Elephas maximus indicus: one gene and its partner. The protein of the gene in region 2 interacts with the protein of the main gene of each other region in a pairwise test. Links are inferred from orthologs where the notes say so. Each region holds a gene or a part of one and is shown on either strand. Other genes may lie near its edges.

The links.
Region 1: the proteins of ATF2 (region 2) and ATF3 interact in binary tests that used the Homo sapiens proteins (3 or more experiments, as listed by UniProt). The link is inferred for Elephas maximus indicus from reciprocal best matches to the Homo sapiens genes ATF2 and ATF3.

Annotation. Positions count from the first base shown.
Region 1 is NC_064842.1:1,221,828-1,231,023, reverse strand, and holds the start of ATF3 (cyclic AMP-dependent transcription factor ATF-3), read right to left. Parts: upstream 4,427-9,196; 5' UTR 3,747-4,426; coding exon 3,625-3,746; intron 1-3,624.
Region 2 is NC_064824.1:73,234,010-73,243,697, forward strand, and holds the start of ATF2 (cyclic AMP-dependent transcription factor ATF-2), read right to left. Parts: upstream 3,934-9,688; 5' UTR 3,799-3,933; intron 1-3,798. UniProt on the Homo sapiens protein: Transcriptional activator which regulates the transcription of various genes, including those involved in anti-apoptosis, cell growth, and DNA damage response.

The DNA of each region.
Region 1 (9,196 bases), on a different chromosome or scaffold from region 2:
AAAAAAAAACCTGCTGCTGTCGAGTCAGTTCCCTGGAACTGCCCCACAGGGTTTCCAAGGTGTGGCTGGTTTCTAACTGCCAACCTTTTGTTCGCAGCTGAGCTCTTAACCACTGCACCACCAGGGCTCCGTTATGCAAACAGGAGGTACACTATTACTGTGCCCCCACGGATCCTTCCAGCCCAGGGCTGGCTCTCTGGCAGAGGTTCTGTGGAATCCAGGTGGGTTCTGATGGGGGCAGGAACTCCAATTTCGACGAATGTTGTTCACTATTCAGAGAAACCTAGAAAATACACACGATTCTCTTCCCACAGCCCTGTGTTCTGAGTCACAACTGAAGGTCTATCAATTTAATCCTATCACCTAGGCTACTGGGAGGATACCCCTCCCTGATAGGTGATAAATGCCTAAGAAAGCAGCCATCTGAAGCCAGAGTCTTAAGATTCTTCCATCCTTTCACACTTTCCTCCCTTTCCAACTTTACTAAAAACCAAATAGTTCAGGGATGGAACTCAGAGCTGCCACTGGACTGGCCTTTGTTTGGAGGACTGGATGGGCAGTTTGAATTCCACTGCAGTTTTTTTTTGAGTATAGTTCCATTTCTCCACTCAACTAAGCTTATTAATGAGCTCTTAGGGCTTAGGGTCTACTGTTTGGGATTTTTCCCCCTTCTTAGTATAAAGTCAGCAGTCCTGATAAAAGTGAAGAATGTCAGTGGCATGGAATGTTTTTATGAAAAGCATTGGGTGGGCTTACTTGGGGACGGAAATGGGTGGTAAAATGTTAAAAGCCTTTCAGAAAATAAAGTGGTTGTATCTGTACAGACTTGGCCTTTCTCTGAACTAGGCTGAAACTTAGCCTCTTGGGATACGTTAGAGTTACTCCTCCACATATTCTCTTAAGATACGATTCAGCCCAGACTAAGGCCGTGTCCCCACAAGGAAAATGAAGTTAAATCTTCAGACAGTTTTTTCAGAAAGCCGAGACACTTGAACGCTCCCCTCACCACCACCAATTGAAGAAAAAAAAGTTCCCGGTTATCTTCACATCTCTCTTAGATCATCTGAGTTGACTTTCTACGTTGATCTTGAAATTGCCCAGATCTGCTGCAAAGAGCCTGTATTTCGCTTCTACTTCATTATCTCCAGTCAGAAATGGTGTCACGTAGTTAGCAGTCTCATCATTTTTAAGAAAGTGAAACTTCACTCATGTATCTCTTTAACTGGAAATTCAGTTCCCAAACGCTATTTCCTAGTGACTACAACTACACTGAATTTTCACTTTTGGTTTTCATCTCTTGCCTCAAAGCACTACTCACAAAATATCTTATGATGCTAGGAAGCCAGCGTTGGTCTTCTCACTAACTAACCCTTTGTGTCAACCCTCGTGAAGGTTGTAGGTACAAGGCTGGGCTTCAGGACCCGAGACAGTTTCCAGGTCTACCACCACCACTCACAAGCTGAGCGCCCGCTTACTGGCCACTTACACTTCCTGGGCCTGGGTCTCCTCATCTGTGAAATGAGCTCCGTGTTGCCTGCCCCAACTCCCGCACAGCGCTATCACGAAGAGCATATGAGATGAAGGTGGACTTACACACACACTGGGCACCCTTCATTACTGTGATTCTACTTTCCCCATTTCATGGAGAACTCATTCTTTTGTGCTCAGTGCAATTCAGTCCCCCATTAGTCAGGAATTAATGGGAACCCTCAAGAAATTCAGGACAGCTCTCAGCTTCTTCTGCACTTTGATTGACCTCTGGGTCTCTAACACACTAGGTACGTTCCACCCTACTATCTGCTGGCACCAGCCTGTCGCCACTGTTACGTGCTTGAGAGATAACCAGTTTCTCACATGTGAAACCATTTTTCCCTCGAAAAATATGTCCATGGTGTCCTAGCTAGGGAACACTTGAAGCCACTGAGCTCGCTCCACCCCAGCTTTAAAATGGAACAAATCATGGTATCTATCTACCAGAAATCATAAGACACCAATATTAGAGTCATCTAGCTGAGATCCTCATTTGTAATCGAGTTAGCTGAGGCCCAGGGAGGTAAAGTGACTTCCTCAAGGTCATAAAGTTGTTGAGTCGCCAGCCCAGGCCAAGCTGCTGACCAGCCACCTGCTGCTCTTTTTGCTCTACCACCAACAGGGATCCAACCTCAAGAGGGGTCAACCCAAGGCACAGAGAACAGAGCCATTGTACCAGGTATGTGAGAGATCAACAGCCCTAGTAACCTGGTGCCAACCAACACAGAGACCACTGGGAGAGCTAAACGGGGGAGGGAATATGGACAGAGGAAAAAGGATCACGGTGGAAGGAAAAGTTAAAAAACCGCTGAAAGGGCAAAGAGGGTGAGAAGGGTGGAGTTATGACACAAAGGGTCCAAAGGCTCCCACGGTGCTGGGTGCGGTGTCTTATCCACACTGTGGGCCTGGGGTGTGGCCTTCCACGCCATCTCTGACACCATCAAGACAAGAACAACTGCAGTCTCCCCACCCCCCCGCCCCGACTGCCCCTTTGTCCAGGACGTCTTCAGATCAAGAGCCTACATGAAGCAGCATTATTCTACACGAGATGCTAAATGCAAAGCCAGGGGGACAGTGATACCAACTTCTCCTTTAGTTTAAGTTGGGGTGACAGAAGGCCCAAAGAAAAACTGTCTCTCACACCCACAATAAAATATGTGCTCTGAGAAAACACCCAGACTTTCTAGCTCCCAGTTTTTTTTGTGGCTCCATCAGAGATTTTGCAACATCTTTATTTGTAAGGCAGCATATGTGATTTAAGCAATGAAATTAGGGGGAAAAACAATCAACGAGGAAATGAATTAAGTACACGAGAGAATCAAGGGGGAAGCAGGAAAGGAGGAGGGGGTGGAGAGCCAATCCAATGAAAAGAAGTTGGGAAGACAGGTCCCCTTTCCCCACTGCCTGGGAGGCTGGTAAGTGACAAGACAGAGACGCCCACTCTACCAAAAAACTCACTGCCGTGGAGTCAATTCAGACTCACAGCGACCCTATAGGATACAGTAGAGCTGCCCATAGGGTTTCCAAGACTGTAATCTTTCCGGGAGCGGACTGCCACATCTTTCTCCCGCGGAGCGGTGGTAAGTTTGAACCAATGACCTTTCAGCCTGCAGCCGAGCGCTTAACCACTGCGCCACCACCCTTGAAGCCGAAAATCTTAACCCAGAAAGCACCTTGGTGGGTATCGGGTTCAGCCACCACCTCCCGCTCACAGACAGGCAGCGGGGCGGGCAGCGTCTACGTACCCACCGCTCCCGGCTGCAGGCACGAGACTGCAGCTCGACGACATCGACTGCCGTGTAAGCTCCCAGAGCCCTGGACACTTGATCACAAAGCCATTCTCTTCTCAATTATCTGAAGGGCCGGGCTCGCACTCTCACCTCCCCACGGTGGGTGTCCATGGGCACGAAGCAGAGAAGTCTGAGTACCCGCCATAGAAAAACCCAGAGCGAGAGTCGCAGGTAGCAGAGAAAAGCGAGCAAGAGATGAGACAGGAAGTCCCGGGTCCCGGAGGCCAATACGAGCCTGTGCCGGGAGCCCTCTCCGCCCTCCGCCCGGGACAGCGACTCACGCGCTCGCCACCTCTAAACTTACCCGACTAACTTTTGCTCTGGGCTCCCGCGCGTCCCCGGCGCCGAGCGCTCCTGGGGTGCAGGCAGAGCGACTCCCAGCCGCCGCGCCAGCGTCCCCGGTTCGTCCGTTCCCTCCCCATTCATTCCGCTCGGCGCCTGGGGCAGCGCTTCTGCGAGCCCGCGGCCTCGGCGCCCGAACGCCGAGCCCGGGAAGGATCGCCTTGGTTGGCGGTGCCCGGGCGCGAAGCGATGGATGGAGCCGGACGGCGATCCGGGGAGGCCTGGGATTCACCCGAGCACCCACCTCCCTACGCGGGCTCCCAGCCGGTAAGTCGGCGCCCAGGGCGGAGAGGAGCTGCGCTAGAAGGTCAGCGGGGAGCGGGCGCCCGTCCTCTCCGTCACCAGAAGCCTCTCGCGCCCCAAGTCAAAAGAGAAAGTTAGTTCTTTCACTTTTCGAGAAACTTTCTGAAGCGCAGAGAAGCGGCACTGGCTGGCAGAAGTTCAGCCAGAGTTCTGGGGAAGCGGAGGCTGGGTGCGCGGGCCCGGGGTGGGCGCAGGGGTCCGGGAGCCGGTCACTGGAGGGGCGCAAAGGCAATGAAAGCAAGCCGCCCTCGCCGCGTTCACTCATTCGGCTTCCAGCGCTCACCTCCTGCCTCGGCTCGAGGCGGCCTGGGTCCCGAGGGCGGGCGGGGGCAGGACGGGGGCGGGCGCGCAGGCTGTCCCGAGGACGCACGGCCGGTGCGCGGGCTGGCGGGTCCGCTGGGCGGCGGCGGGGAGAGTGCTGTGCTGTGCGCGCCTGGCTGCGTGCGACTGTGGCTGCGAGCGCGTTGCATCACCCCTTTTATAGCGCTGGGCTGGCGGCGCGCCCGCTGACTCCGGGTTACCAGCCCCGGGCTGACGTAATGCTATTAATAGCTTCCCCGAGAACTCGCCGGACCGGGCAGTGGAAGGCGGGGCGGAGGAGGGACCAAGGCGCGGGGAGGCGGTGGCGGCGAGGGAGGCCTGGTGATGCAACCTCGGGGAGGGGCCCGGAGGCGCGTTCTCCCGGCCTCGCGCTGGGACACACACCCGCCCGCCCTCTCTCTCCAAATCGGGACCGGAGCCGCCCGGGCCCGCCGCCAGATGTGCGTACTCGCCGCTGCGTGTTCCAGGCGTGAGCCAATGGTGCCCAAGCCAGCGGCATGACTCCACCGCGCTGGCATCCCTCCCTCGGCTAGGCTGCGGGAGGGGTGGGGAGAAGGCTGGTCCCGGCCGCGGCCCAGGCGAGGTGAGGCCGGGAAGGGGGCGCGACCTTTCTCTAAAATGCACGGTCATTATCTGGAGCTTCAAGAAAGTGCCCCCTACCCCGCCCGCCGCCTCCTTCTCGAGTAGAGGGCTGGGTGGGGGCAGGAGCGTTGTTCTCTCGTGCGGGAGAGGTGCCCAAAGTCACCCAGGCGTGACCCCACACCGTTACTCTCCGGGGTGACCTCCGCCGCGGGGACCACGAGAAACCGGCGCGTTAACCCAAGCGCGGACAGCAGCGCTCGGCGCGCGCCGTCCCCCGGCGCCCGCGGCTCCAGCTCATCCCACGTGAGCGCACACGCAGATACACCTCGGTGCTCACTGGAACCCGATCCGAAGGAGATGGCGAGGGGTAGGACCCTGTCAGTTCGGATGTTTTTAAACAACCACAAAGCATTTGAAATTGACAGAGAGATTCCCGGCGAAACGAACGAGAGAGCGTAGACGGATAAGAGATCTGGAGAAACAAGGGGAACCCGGAGCCGGACTGAAACTGAGCAGCCGGGGAGACAAGAGAAAGAGACAGCGCTTCGGCCCCGGGGGCCGGCCAGGCTGGAGCGGGTCGCCTCGCCCTCGGCCAGTGTGTAGGGAAACTCGTCCTCATCTTTCTCGTGTTTTTCTGCGCGGAGAGCAGATTGGGCGGGGACCAGAGTGCCGGTACTGGGGACGCACTGACCGCCGCCAGGACGGGAACCCGCAGTAGAGATCCCCTCGGTCCTCAGGCCAGGGTGGCGGGACCCCGATGCCTCGGCAGAACTGGGTTTGAACCTTAAAACGATTTCCCGGTTCCGATTCCCAGACTGTAGCCATCTCGGCTCCGACAACGGCAGAACCAGGGACCTTCTCAGCCACTCTTAGACGATAAGGTGTGGGCGCAAGCGTGGCCCGGGGCCTTTCGAATTTGCCTGGGAGGGAGACCCACGCGAGCCAGGAGTGGCGGGGTACTGAGGGGGGTGTGAGGCCGAGGGCAGAAGCACCTGCTTCGACCTGCCTCTTGGGAGATGGGTGATCGAAGGCCATAGTTTGGAGTAAGAACTCTAGGTGTCTCGGGGCACCAGGTCCCATCGCATCTGCAGGCGCGGCCCTTGACTGGTAAGGTCGTGGCGGAGCCGGGGGTCTGGCGCCCGGTCGGGCCAGGGCGCAGCGTCTTGCACTCACACACACACACACATACACTCACACCTTGGAGAATCCGCATCCCTCCCCAGCCCTGCCGATGGCGGAGCAGCCTGGGGCAGAGATCCCCGGCGCTGCAGGTAGCGCCGAATCTTCCACACCCGGGTTTCTTGCCCCCAAGCCAGAACCTCACCCAGATGCCCTCTCCCACCTGGAGCTTGTACAACGTGGAGGGCGGCCTCGGAAGTCCTCCGCCCCATCCGACAGCCCTGGGGTTCCACGCGGTGCCCTCGGGGATTCTGCTCTGCAGCAGACAAGGTTCCCCTGGCGCATCGCGCGGGAAGCGTGGGGCGGCTGTTTTCCTCTGCTTTTCGTCCTGGTAACGGCTCTCCCGGCCCCACCCTCCACTTCTCACGCCCACACACCCCGCACACCCCGCTCCGCACACCCACACCCCGCCCTCCCACCGACGCGCGGGCAGGTACACCCCGGGCGTGTCTGCACAGCCCGAGAACTCCGAGCGAGAGCGGATGGAAAGGGCGTCTGACAAGTAGAGAATCCCAAATAACTTTTCATTTAAACGTAGAATTTACGTGTACAATTTAAATGAAAGTTATTTGGGATTCTCTCCTTATCCGACCAACCTCCACTGAAATAAATAGCACCATTAATTATTTATTATAAATATTATGATAAAGTGAGACAAGGAGGCGGGAAAGAACCACGTGAAAGCTTTTCACTTGTTGCTGTGAAACGCGCGCAGAAATCTTTATCCAATTTACATTTTAAACTGTGGTGCCATTAACACACCCAAGCAAGAGCTGTGGAAGTTTGGCCCTTTCCTTAAGGGGAAATTCAGCTCGAGCAGTAAACACACCAGTGTCCACAAAACAGAGGAAGCAAAGGGTCAGGGAAAAGAGAGGCATTCACAGTTTGTTACCATCCTGCCTCCTCCCGTTCCGTTTATTAATCTGGTTTCATTCTAGTAATCCTTGCTTTTGAATCTCCAAGTCACACCTGGGCAGAAGTGCCGTTGGCATCTGCCGGAGCCTGAGCCTGGCTTTCTTTCCTCTGCCTTTTTCTCTTACTGGGACTCTAAAAGCGATAAGAATCATGACAGAGAAGTACACCCCCACGTGAATGAAACTCTTATCCAAGAAAAACAAAAAACTAGTCCTGGCTGCCTCCTTTCCTCCCTTCCCCCAGGAGAGCTGTGAAATGTCTGCGGAATGAGAGAGAGGCTGGGGAACAGCGGGAGAAGCTCTGTGTGCCCAGCTCGGTGATCTCCGGGATCGGTACCTGAGGCTGTGCGTCCTCCTCTACCCTGGCTTTCATTCGTGCCGCCAATGTCCACGGCTCACACTCTCACCACACACAAGCAGTCCCATCCAGAGGAGGGGCAAGAAAAGCTCCCCAGACAAAGGCACAGAATGCCTGCCCCCCGCCCCCCCCCCCCCCCCCCGCCCCAGAAGGAAGCCCGGGCCTGGGTTATTTCAGGGGTTAATCCTCAATGAAAGCGAGATAAGCAGAGACTGGAATATTTTGCTGAGGCTTTACTCCGGGAATCGCCTGGGGAATCCACTCTCAGATCAGCCGGGTGTGTTTTTGCTGAGTGAGATAAGACCTGAAGACTTCGTGCTGGGGCTTGTGCAAAAGCAAGGGGAAAAAATTAAAAGGGGAGGGGAAGGAACTGGGCAGCTAAAAACAGCCCACTCGTGGCAACCAAATCTAAACACCAAAACATTGCAAGGAGCCAAACGCAAACAACCAGAAAAAAAAAGGAGCCCAAGAGATATTTAGAGCTTTTAGTCCAGTGGGCTGTCCCTTCCCAGCCCCTCCCCATCCCACCGTTCTGTTCTGCAAACCCGGAAGACTCTATTTGCTCTCAGAGATCCCAGAAACCCAAATTAAACACAAGTTAAAATCGGCCAGGGAAGCAGCTAGGAGCTAGCAGCCCAGTCTACCCGGCTCAACCCACTTCTTCACCCTGGAACAGGAGTTGGGTGGCCTGTCCTCTCCATTCTCCTCTCCAAAGCCCACCCTTTCTGTAAGGTCAGTTTGGGTGTGTAGATTACTAATTTAAGAGTCTCTGACCTGAGGCCTTCTTGGGGAAAGTGGGGGCAGCCTTGCACAGTGGACTCTGAAGTGTGGAAGGGAGGACTTTGATTCTGGATTCAGCACTTAGTGGCTGTGTCATCTTGGAAAAGTCATTTCATTCTCTGGGTTTAAGTTTCCTCAGCTGAAAGATGGCACTAATAATAGCACCTAACTCAGGGTTGTTGTGAGAGTGAATGGAGAAAGGGGCACAGTAATGGTGTCGCTAATTGTGAATCGGGAGGGGGGCTTTCTGGGGATACCCCTCGACCTCCCCCCCAGAGCTAATTCTGCACTCCTTATCAATGGCCCTCAACAAGATGGACTGACACAGTGGCTGCAACAATGGGCTCAAGCACAATGGTTGTGATGATGGCACAGGACCGGACAGTGTTTCGTTCTGTCACTATGTGTCGGAACCTACTCAACGGCACCTAACAACAACATCAGTGGCAAACAGTTGGGAAGAGTTGAGCAATGTCCAGGAATGACAATCTCCAGACAGGAAACGATGAGAGCATTTCCGGTTATTCATCCACAGCAGCACGGCCATTCGCCTGGGGCTCACCTCAGTGCTGTGCTGACCAATGCCTTCCTCCCCCCACTGACTCCGTGCAAAGTGCCTGGGCTGGGAATGGGGGATTTGGGTTCTGGTGTGGTTCTGAGCCTGGTATCCTTGAGCAAGGGACTGTCTCTGGTTGAGCCCCCACCCTTCTCTGAGGGTCCTGACTGTAGGCTCAGGTGGCACTGTCTTGCAAGCCTCTGGTGTCTTCTAAGTGAAGGGAGAGAGAAGGCATCAGAGAGAGCTTGTTGACCAGCACTTGGAGAAACCCATTTCCATAATGTTGTCCGACTTGATTCTCAAACACAGCCCGTGGTCCAGACAGCTCATCTTCTCTCTCTCTGAACGTTTCCAAGAACTTTTACCCCCTCCAACTTGGTGCCCTGCAAAGAGAAGGCGGGGGTTGCATCTTTAGGGACCTTCTTGTGTGTAGTCAATTATGAGCAGCCATAGACGCCCACCTTGGACCACAGGGCCGAAGGCCAGGTAGCAGCTATTTCCATGTACCAGAAGAAGGAACCCTGGGCGTTCGAGTGGGCAG
Region 2 (9,688 bases):
TGATTTCTAGTTACACTGCTATAATAGCTGCTCAATAAATAAACTGGAAGAACAAAGCCATTAAATTACAGTGACAGAGTTTAGGTTCAATTAGGTAAATTAAAGAATATTTAGGGAACATATTTACAAATTTAAGGCCAATATTATAGACAAAGTCAACCACAGACTTTCAAAAGAACCAAAATACATTTGGTATTTTGCCAATTACAATCATTCCCACCATCTTTTCCTACCAATTTCATTGAGGATCTCAGTGGTAATAAGCCACTACTACTTTCGGGAGTGCTTTCTATTCCTTGGGCATCAAGGCAGAAGAAAAATGGTTGCCAATTGTCTTTGTTAAGATACAGAATGTAGACATGAATGAACAGGCCTAGCCCCCAAAGCAGTTTATTTATATCCTTTCTTGTTGGGGGGGGGAATTTTTAATTACTACAATTTTACCACATCATTTATTTTTCTATTGACAAAAATGCCAAGGGGGAAAAAAAGCATCACTAAACATGCTTAAAAATGAAAATAAATTTTTAATGAAATTATACCTTACTCCAACTTTTTAACCTTGTGCTTGAGAAACAGAAAAAATGAAATAAAATGTTTTGTGGGGTTTTCTCTTAGATATAAATTGATGGACATTATCTAATAATGACTACCTGATCATTAAAAATTATATAAAGAGAATATGATGCATTTTAGACAAGTTCTTAACCTCACTGAATACATATAAAATAAACACTAAACTACTAAATTAAACTGTTTTTTTATAAAATGCAAAGGCTTTTAGGGGTGCATTTGAATTACAAAAAATAGCGTAACTAGTACTGTTATTTATTAATTTTTATGAGGATCAGCTGAATATCCAATAATTCTTGAAACTGTTACTCAGTTTGTTTTAAATTGAGAGGTTTTGGTGGACATTTTGTTTTAAGTAAGAAAGACTTCAACTACTTTATCCTCTCTAAGGACATTTCAACAAAAACACACACACAAAAAAAGAAGTGCCAGCTTAAAGGCAGATTTCATATCAGAATGAAGAGCTCAAAGGCAAAATGGAAAACAGTATGCACGGTGGGATTATTCCCCTGATCTAAAACGATCCTTGAATTTAATTTACCAGCAGAAAAAACCCACTGTCATCTCGATTCCGACTCTGTGACCCTATACCAGCAGAGGACATATAAATCATTACAACCCAACTTTTCCAAAATATAAAAATTTAGATAGAAAAAGTGTGGATGATTTCTTGAGAGTTAATGCTAGTTAGAAGTTCGATGTATAGCATATAATTTTTATGTTATACTACTACAGCTTCCAAACTCTAAATACCAATAAATCCCCCCAATTATCTATTAAACAGCTGACATGGTAACTATTTCTACTGTTATCTTAATTTAAAAATAAGAAACAAATACTTCAAGTAAAAAAGTAAATGCAAGAATTTCTGGATTGCATGATTTTTAATACATAATATAGTGGCCCAAATACCAAATAAACATTCTAACATGGTATTTAAAGAGATTTCCAGCAAATGCAATAAAATCTGTATAAGGCATTGCGTACCTTAAAAACATATACACGAAAAGTTCCTGAAAGCGCCTTCCTTACCGACAATTAAAATACAAAATGCCTACATTTTAATTACAACATTATATTCTAAATAATTTTAAAAGAATAGCAGTGGCATCCTCTCAAAGCAAGATTAAAGATTTGTTAGGGAGGCAACACACCGAAACCAAAAAACCAAACCTACTGCCGTCCAGTCAGTCAATTCCGACTCATAGTGACCCTACAGGACAGAGCAGAGCTGCCCCAGAGTTTCCAAAGCTGTAATCTTTCCAGAAGCAGATTGCCGCATCTTTTTCCCAAGGTGCAGCTGGTGCACAGGAACCCAGAACTTAAAGTTAGCAAGCCTTGTGCTTAACCACTTCACTGCCAGGCCTCCTTAGGCAACACACAAACCCGAACCAAACCAAACCCACTGCCGTTGAGTCCATTCCGACTCATAGCGACCCGATAAGCAATATACACACCACTGTAAACTTGAAAGATTCTTACAAATTATATTACAAAGCTAAGGATTCTTGATTATTATCGAAGGTCTTCAAGGTCCATGAACTTTCTTGATCTGCAGAAGGGCATCTAGTTTTTTAAAAAAAAACTTGAAAGGATGTTCCTCCAATTTCTGAAAAAAGTGTTTACAGAGGATGCCTGAAGTCAGTGTGACAAATTTAAATACAAGATATAACTGCTACTGTATTTGTAATTCAGGGCAGTTAACCCACATAGGGTTGACTTCTTACAATAAAGTCGCACCTTCATAATTTTGGTTCAATAGACCAAGGTTATACGGTTATTTAAAGATTCTGAGGGGGAACTGCTGCCACTGACAATGTCAATGGTTATGAATTTCTTCATATAGGACAAAAAGTGTGCTCAGAGAAACAGTTTCTGTTCTGACTTCAAATACATTAATAGTATGCATTGTTACTGTTTCTGTAATTTAAGATTACTAAGAAACTACTTGCATATTATAATTTAGGAATAAATGAATAGGTCTAAGTAATGTGTTTCACTCCATCATATTCACAGTAGTTTTACTCTCGCCTCACCAGTTTTAAGACTCCCTATTAAAAAAGACTTTTTTTTTTACTACCTACCCACCAAACCAAACCCACTGTCATGGAGTCGACTGGGACTCATAGCGACCCTATAGGACAGAGTAGAACTGCCCCATACGGTTTCCAAGGCTGTAAATAAATATTCACGGTAGCAGACTGCCACATCTTCCTCCTGGCTGGCGGGTTCGAACCCCAACCTTCTGGTTAGCAGACGAGCTCCACCAGAGCTCCTTTATACTACCTAAGACCACAAAAATAATCCCCAGCTCTTCCGCCCTCTCCTTAGCTTCGGTTCCACCAGCGTGCGTAGAAAACAAGCAAACACACACACACACACACACACACACACACACGGGAGCGCGCGCGCACACACACACACACAATCTCTCTTTCTGTCCTGGTCCCTGGGGCATCGATAAACAGCACAGATTATTTCCCTACAGAAGCTCTGGTGTCCACCCAGAGAGATAAAAAATGGGGGAAAACGCCAGAATCAACCCGCACCCACACCTCAGCCCCGCCCCACTGGGAAAAAGAGGGGGGTGGCGAGTGTGTGAGGGTGGCAGAAAGGACAGAAAAGGCCGGGCCTCCTAATTCCCAGGCTCACCATACCATTCGCTCCATCAGGTTTCACCGCAGGCAGGGACCCAGACCCTGTTTTCAGCCGTACATGCCGATCTACTCCCCATTCCACACCCCACATACAAATAGTCCCGGCCGCTGGGTCTTGGGTGGGGAGACCACAGCCGACCCTCTTCCCGCCCAAGCTAAGGGCCGAGGGAGGTCTCCCCGCGCCCTCGGCAGGTCCGACCTGTGCTCCAGGAGCCTCCGAGCCGACCGAAGAAGGGGAAGATAAATCGGAGGGAGGGGTCTGAGAGGAGCCGTTATTTCTTTTTCCTCTTCGTTAGGAAAGCGCGCGAGCGGGGAGGGGCCGGAACAACGAACGCCAGTTACCTAAAGGTCCGGCCGGGCTAGACAGCCTCCTGAAGCCGACGCCGGCAGGCTGCTGAGGTGGCAGCACAGCCACAGTCGCCCCGAGGGCTAGGGACGGAGGCAGGGGCGCCCCAGGTGCTGGGAAGCGGGGGGTGGGGACTGTGGTGAGCGACGTCGCCATGTTAGCGCCTTCTTTCTCGGTACCCCACAGTCTCCAGTCTGCAGCAATCTCCCCATCACTACTCACCTTTCCAGGTCACTAATGCATGCGCCCTTCGGCTGCCCGGAGCCCCGTGTTTACAAACCACCCCTGGAGGAAAGGGCTGAACCGTACTTTAAAGGCCACGGGCTCCCACAGGCTTCCGTCCTCTCTCGCGAGATCGGACTGACAACCCTTCTCCCCGCCCCACTCCCGGCATCCTCCCCATTCTTCTCATGCCCCTCCCCTCCACGCGCACGCCCCTTCTTGCCTTCCTTCGGAAGGAGCGACTCCGGGTCAGGTGGTTCCGTCAGCCTTGACGAAGGAGGCGGGACTCAGAAGGGTGGGGATGGAGGGGGCGGGAACCAAAAACACTCGGGCACTGGTGATTGGACAAGGAGACCGAAGGGCGGGAAGCAGTTCTGGAGGGGGCGGGAGTACAGAGACCAGTAACCCGTTGCTTTCCAGTCCATTTCAACTCGTAGCGACCCTATAGGACGGGGTAGAACTGGCCCATAGGGTTTCCAAAAGAGACTGCCACACCTTTCTCCCGCGGAGCAATTTGTGGGTTTGAACCGCTAACCTATCGGTTAGCAGCCGAGTTCTTAACGATTTCTCAGTAACCCTGGAGCTGCCGGAGGCTGTGATTGGCAGCTAGCGGGCGCGGGAGCAGGTGGCGGTTGAGGTCTCGGAGGGGATTAGTGGTGTGCAGGGAGAAGAGGTGAGTTCAGGAAAGGCTGCGAGTGAGGAGAGAGAAAGCCGGTGAGTTGCCAGCCCTGGGAACCGGGTAGTTTTCGTTGCTGTCACTTCCTGGCCCATGGTGGAGACGTGAGTAAAGCTATGGTAAGGGGAGTTTAGGTTAAGCTGAGGTTTGGGAGAGACGGAATTGGGTCAAAACCAAACCACACTCAGTGCCGTCGAGTCGATTCCGACTCATAGCGACCCTATAGGAGAGTAGAACTGCCCCGGGTAGTTACCCCCAAATCCCCTACATGCCTAAAGAGGGAAAGAGGATAAGACGAAAAAGCTTTTAATCTGAGCGGTGTTTGTTGAAATTTTACTAAGCTGTAAGTGGAACTGATTCAGGCTCCTTTTTCCCAGCATCAAAATTAAACACTTTTATGCATTAAAGGACTTTATCAACAAAGTGAAGAGTTGTTGTTAGGCGCTGTCAAGTCAGTTCCAACTCACAGCAACTCTGTGTACAACACAAGGAAACACTGACCAGTCTTCTGCCATCCTAAGAATTGTTGCTATCAGTGAGCCCATCATTGCAACCATTGTGTAAATCTATCTCGTTGAGGGTCTTCATCTCTTTCTGACCCTCTACTTACCAAGCATGATGTCCTTCTCCAGGGACTGGTCCCTCCCGATAACATGTCCAAAGTACTTGAGACGAAGTCTCGCCATGCTCACATCTAAGGAGCATTCTGACTGTACTTCTTCCAAGACAAATTTGTTTGTTCTTTTGGCAGCCCATGGTATATTCAATATTCTTCACCAACACAGTACTTCAAAGGCATCGATTTTTCTTCAGTCTTCCTTATTCATTGTCCAGTATTGCATGTGTATAAGCTGAATGAAAATACCATGGTTTGGGACAGGCACACCTTAGTCCTCAAAGTGATATCTTTGCCCTTTAACACTTTAAAGAGGTCTTTTGTAGCACAGTTGCCCAATGCAGTATATCGTTTGATTTCTTGACTCCGGCTTCCATGGGTGTTGATTGTGGATCCAAGAAAAATGAAAATTCTTGACAACTTCAATATTTTCTCCATTTATCATGATGTTGCCAATTGGTCCAGTTGTAAGGATTTTGGGGAGAAATTTTTTGGGAACCATATATAAATATATAACCATATATAAATAAGGGTTTAATATCCAGTTTAATATATAGAAGCAAGGATGGTGAGACTGCATCTTACATACTTTGGACATGTTGTCAGGAGGGATCAGTCTCTGGAGAAGGACATCATGCTTGGCAAAGTACAGGGTCAGCAGAAAAGAGGAAGACCCTCAACGAGGTGGATCGACACAGTGGCTGCAACAATGGGCTCAAGCATAACTATTGTAAGGATGGTGCAGGACCAGGTAGTGTTTTGTTCTGTTGTAAATAGGGTCGCTATGAGTTAGAACCGACTCGATGGCACCTAACAACAACAACATATATAAAAAGAAAACACTGGTGGCATAGTGTTTAAGTGCTATAGTTACTAACCAAAGGGTCAGCCATTCAAATCCACCAGGTGCTCTTTGGAAACTCTATGGGGGCAGTTCTACTCTGTCCTATAGGGTCACTATGATCTGGAATTGACTCGGTGGCAATAGGTTTTGGTTTTGTATATATAAAAAAGACAAGACATTTCCCCAAAGGAGATATACAAATGCCCAAAAAACACATGAAAAGGTGCTCAGTATCTTAGGGAAATGAGACACCACTTCACCCTCACTAGTATGGCTATGATTAAAAAACAAAAACAGAAAACAACATATGCTGGCAAGGATGTGGAGAAATTAGATCCCTCATCCATTGCTGGTTGTTGTTGTAAGTTGCCATCAAGTTGGCCCTGACTCATAGCAACCCCATGCACCTCCTGGTCCTGCATTATCCCCTTGATCACTTGTGATTCATAAGGGTTTCACTGGCTGATTTTCAGGTAGATCACCAGGCCTTTCTTCCTAGTCTGTCTTAGTTTGGAAGCTCCACTGAAACCTGTTAAGCATCACAGCAATACGCAAACCTCCACTGACAGATGGGTAGTGGCTGTGCATGAAGCGCATTGGCCAGGAATTGAACCAGGTCTCCTGCATGAAAGGCGAGCATTCCACCACTGAACCACTGATGCCTCCCATTGCTGGTGGGAAAGTAAAATGGTGCAGCTGCTGTGGAAAACAGTTTGGTGATTACGCAAAACATTAAACATAGAATTACCATATGACCCAGCAATTCTAGGTATATACCACAAATAATTGAAAGCAGAAATGCTATGAACTTGTGTACCAATGTTCATTACACCACTCTTCCCAATAATCAAAAGGTGGAAAGCACCTACACGTCCATTAACAGATGAATGGATAAACATAACATGGTGTAAACATACAATGGAATATTACTCAGCCATAAAGAGAAATAAAGTCCAGATGCATGATACCACAAGGATGAACTTTGAAAACATTATGCTGAGTGAAATAAGTCACAAAAGGAGAAATATTGTATGATCCCACTTACACGAAATATTTACAAGGGGCAAATGTATAGAGACCAGAGTTCATCGGTGGTTTACCTGGGGTAGGAGGGAGGAGGAAAGGGGGACCCTGAGATCTGTTAAGAGCTATGGAAAACTTTGGAAACAGACAGTGATGATGTTTGTACAACATGATGAACACAGTATTATTGAAATCTACACGTAAAAAATGTTGAAATGATAAATGTTTTGTCATATATATTTTTACCACAATAGGGGGCAGGGAAGGAAAAGAGGGAAAGAACGTTTGATTAGTGTGGGGGGGAAAAAAAGGCCATCTTTGCTGCTTTGCAATGACAGATGCACACCAAAAAACACAGAAAGGACAGTGATGAAAAGATTTCTTCTTAATGTTGTTTTATGATTCTTTATACAACTTAAAGATTTCAGTGTTTACTGTAGTAATAGTGATTATTCTACAAATTGGAGACATTGGCACAAGGTGAAAAGCATAATAAGGGGTCCTTGCAAAAACATGCGTTACTGTTTTTTAAAAAGAGCAAGTTTATTGCGGTGCCTTATGTTTTTTCATTTATTAAATGCTGATTTCTAGTCTGTGTTAAAATTATGAATAAAGTCTATGTATTAGCCTATAATATGCTCTCAAGTAATATCTCTACACCAAAACGAAATGGAAATTGTTGGAGGATTTTGGGGGATATTATTTGAGAGTTAATGAACCTGCAGTTCAATAATGGCATCTGGCATAAAAGTGAAATCGTAACGGCATTGGACTTTTTAACAGGTTTCTGGCCTCTATACATGTATGCGAGCCAACTCAGTCCTCTTTTAAAACTAATTTTCATTATCAAGAGACATGAAATTTGCCAAATAATTAACACTGTTTACTTCTCAGATGAAAATGAAAGAACCATCCCTATATAACATCAGTAACACTGTAGTGGTGTTGGTGTGGTGTAGTGTAGTGTATCACTAATTGCATCAACAAAACTGCAGCAGCTCAGATTACCAATGAACATAATGATGTCCAAAATGTGAGACTGACAGATCATAAATTATTAGGTCTAGAATGCATTCACTATAAAGGTGCTTCTCTCCTCCAGGCCCCAGAACTTTCAACGTGGGAAAAAGAGCTATAAATGTTATGTCATTTCAGAAGAACTTTGTGTCAATTAATATAGTTTTTTGTTTTAAACAATTATTTTCCATTCATTTACATTAAAGAGATGAAATTCTTTCCTCCAGTTTTGATTCATTATCAATTGGCAATAGCTTTGGTTTTAAACTCCTCCTCTTCCCTGCTTCTCCAGTCAGTTGCCAAGTTGTTAATTATCTACAAAGTGTACTAGGGGAACGGGCTATTTTAAAGAAAGTCTTTCGTAAGTTCTCTTAAACAAGAGAGGAATCATTTAGTAATATGAATAGTACTCTGATTTGTTTTGAGAATGCAATTTTAGCGAACTTTCTAAAGAGAAGGTATTTTGGATTGAATTGTGCCCAGCCAAAATACGTGTTGGAAGACTAACCCCTATATGTTTGGGAACGGGGTTTCCTTTGTTATATTAATAAGGCCATATCCATGTGAGTGTATCCTAAACCTAATCACTTCAGAGTTTAAGGAGCAGCAAAGCAAGCACAAATAGGGGAAAGACAGATGCCACGTGAAGATCGCCAAAGAGATGAGGAACACCAGGGCTACAGAAGCGGAAAGAGACAAAAATCTTTCCCCAGAGGCATCAGAGGGCCTTCCCCTAGAGCCAGTGCCCTGAATTCGGACTTCTAGCCTCCTGAAGTATGAGAAAATAAATTTCTGTTCCTTAAAGCCACCTCCTTGTGGTATTTCTATTACAGCAGCATTAGGAAACTAAGACAGAAGGTATACCTAAAGTGCAAAAAAATAAAGGAGATCAAGGGAAAACACAGGTAGAAATGACGCAAATCTGTTACATGTTGGTAGCCTGACAGTTAACAAAAGGTTTCACCTTATCTCCATACATCTAGCTCCACAACATCTAGTTCCTTCACTGTGGCTTTCCTATACATGGAGAAAACACTCACTGGGCACACAATGCATGTAGTTGCTATTTCCAGTTCTGATCCATGAACTAGTCTTTTTTAATTTTTATATACTTCATCTTATTTTTCTAGTGTTGTTGAAAATATACACAGGAAAACATGCATCAACAATTTCTACATGTACAATTCAGTAATATTGATTACATTCTTCAAGTTGTACAACTATTGTCACCCTCCTTTTTCCGAATTGTTTCTCCCCCATTGACATAAACTCAATGCCTCTTAAACTTCTATCTAAACTTTCAAGCTGCTGTATTCAGTTTGATCCCATATAGGTAGTTCTTTAAAAGAGCACAATGCTGAAGGCAGACATTCTTTGCAAATTAAGGTAAACTGTTTAGTTTGTTTATGGTGATGGAAAATTTGCATTGATTAAGGGTAATGGTTGCACAACCAATTGGTGTAATTGATGTCACTAAGTTGTACATCTATAAAAAGTTGAATTGGCAAGTGTTGTGTGGTATCTATTTTACTACAAGAACAACAACAACAACAAGAGTAGCTGCTGAAACTGCTAATGTATAACCAAATATCGAATGGGATTTGGTTTCTTGGTGGAGGTTTAGGGTCATGGTTTCCTGGGACACCCCAGTTTATCAGCCAAATACTGTATTTAGTGCTTCTGTTCTATCTTCCAGTTTGTTGTGTAGCGCCTG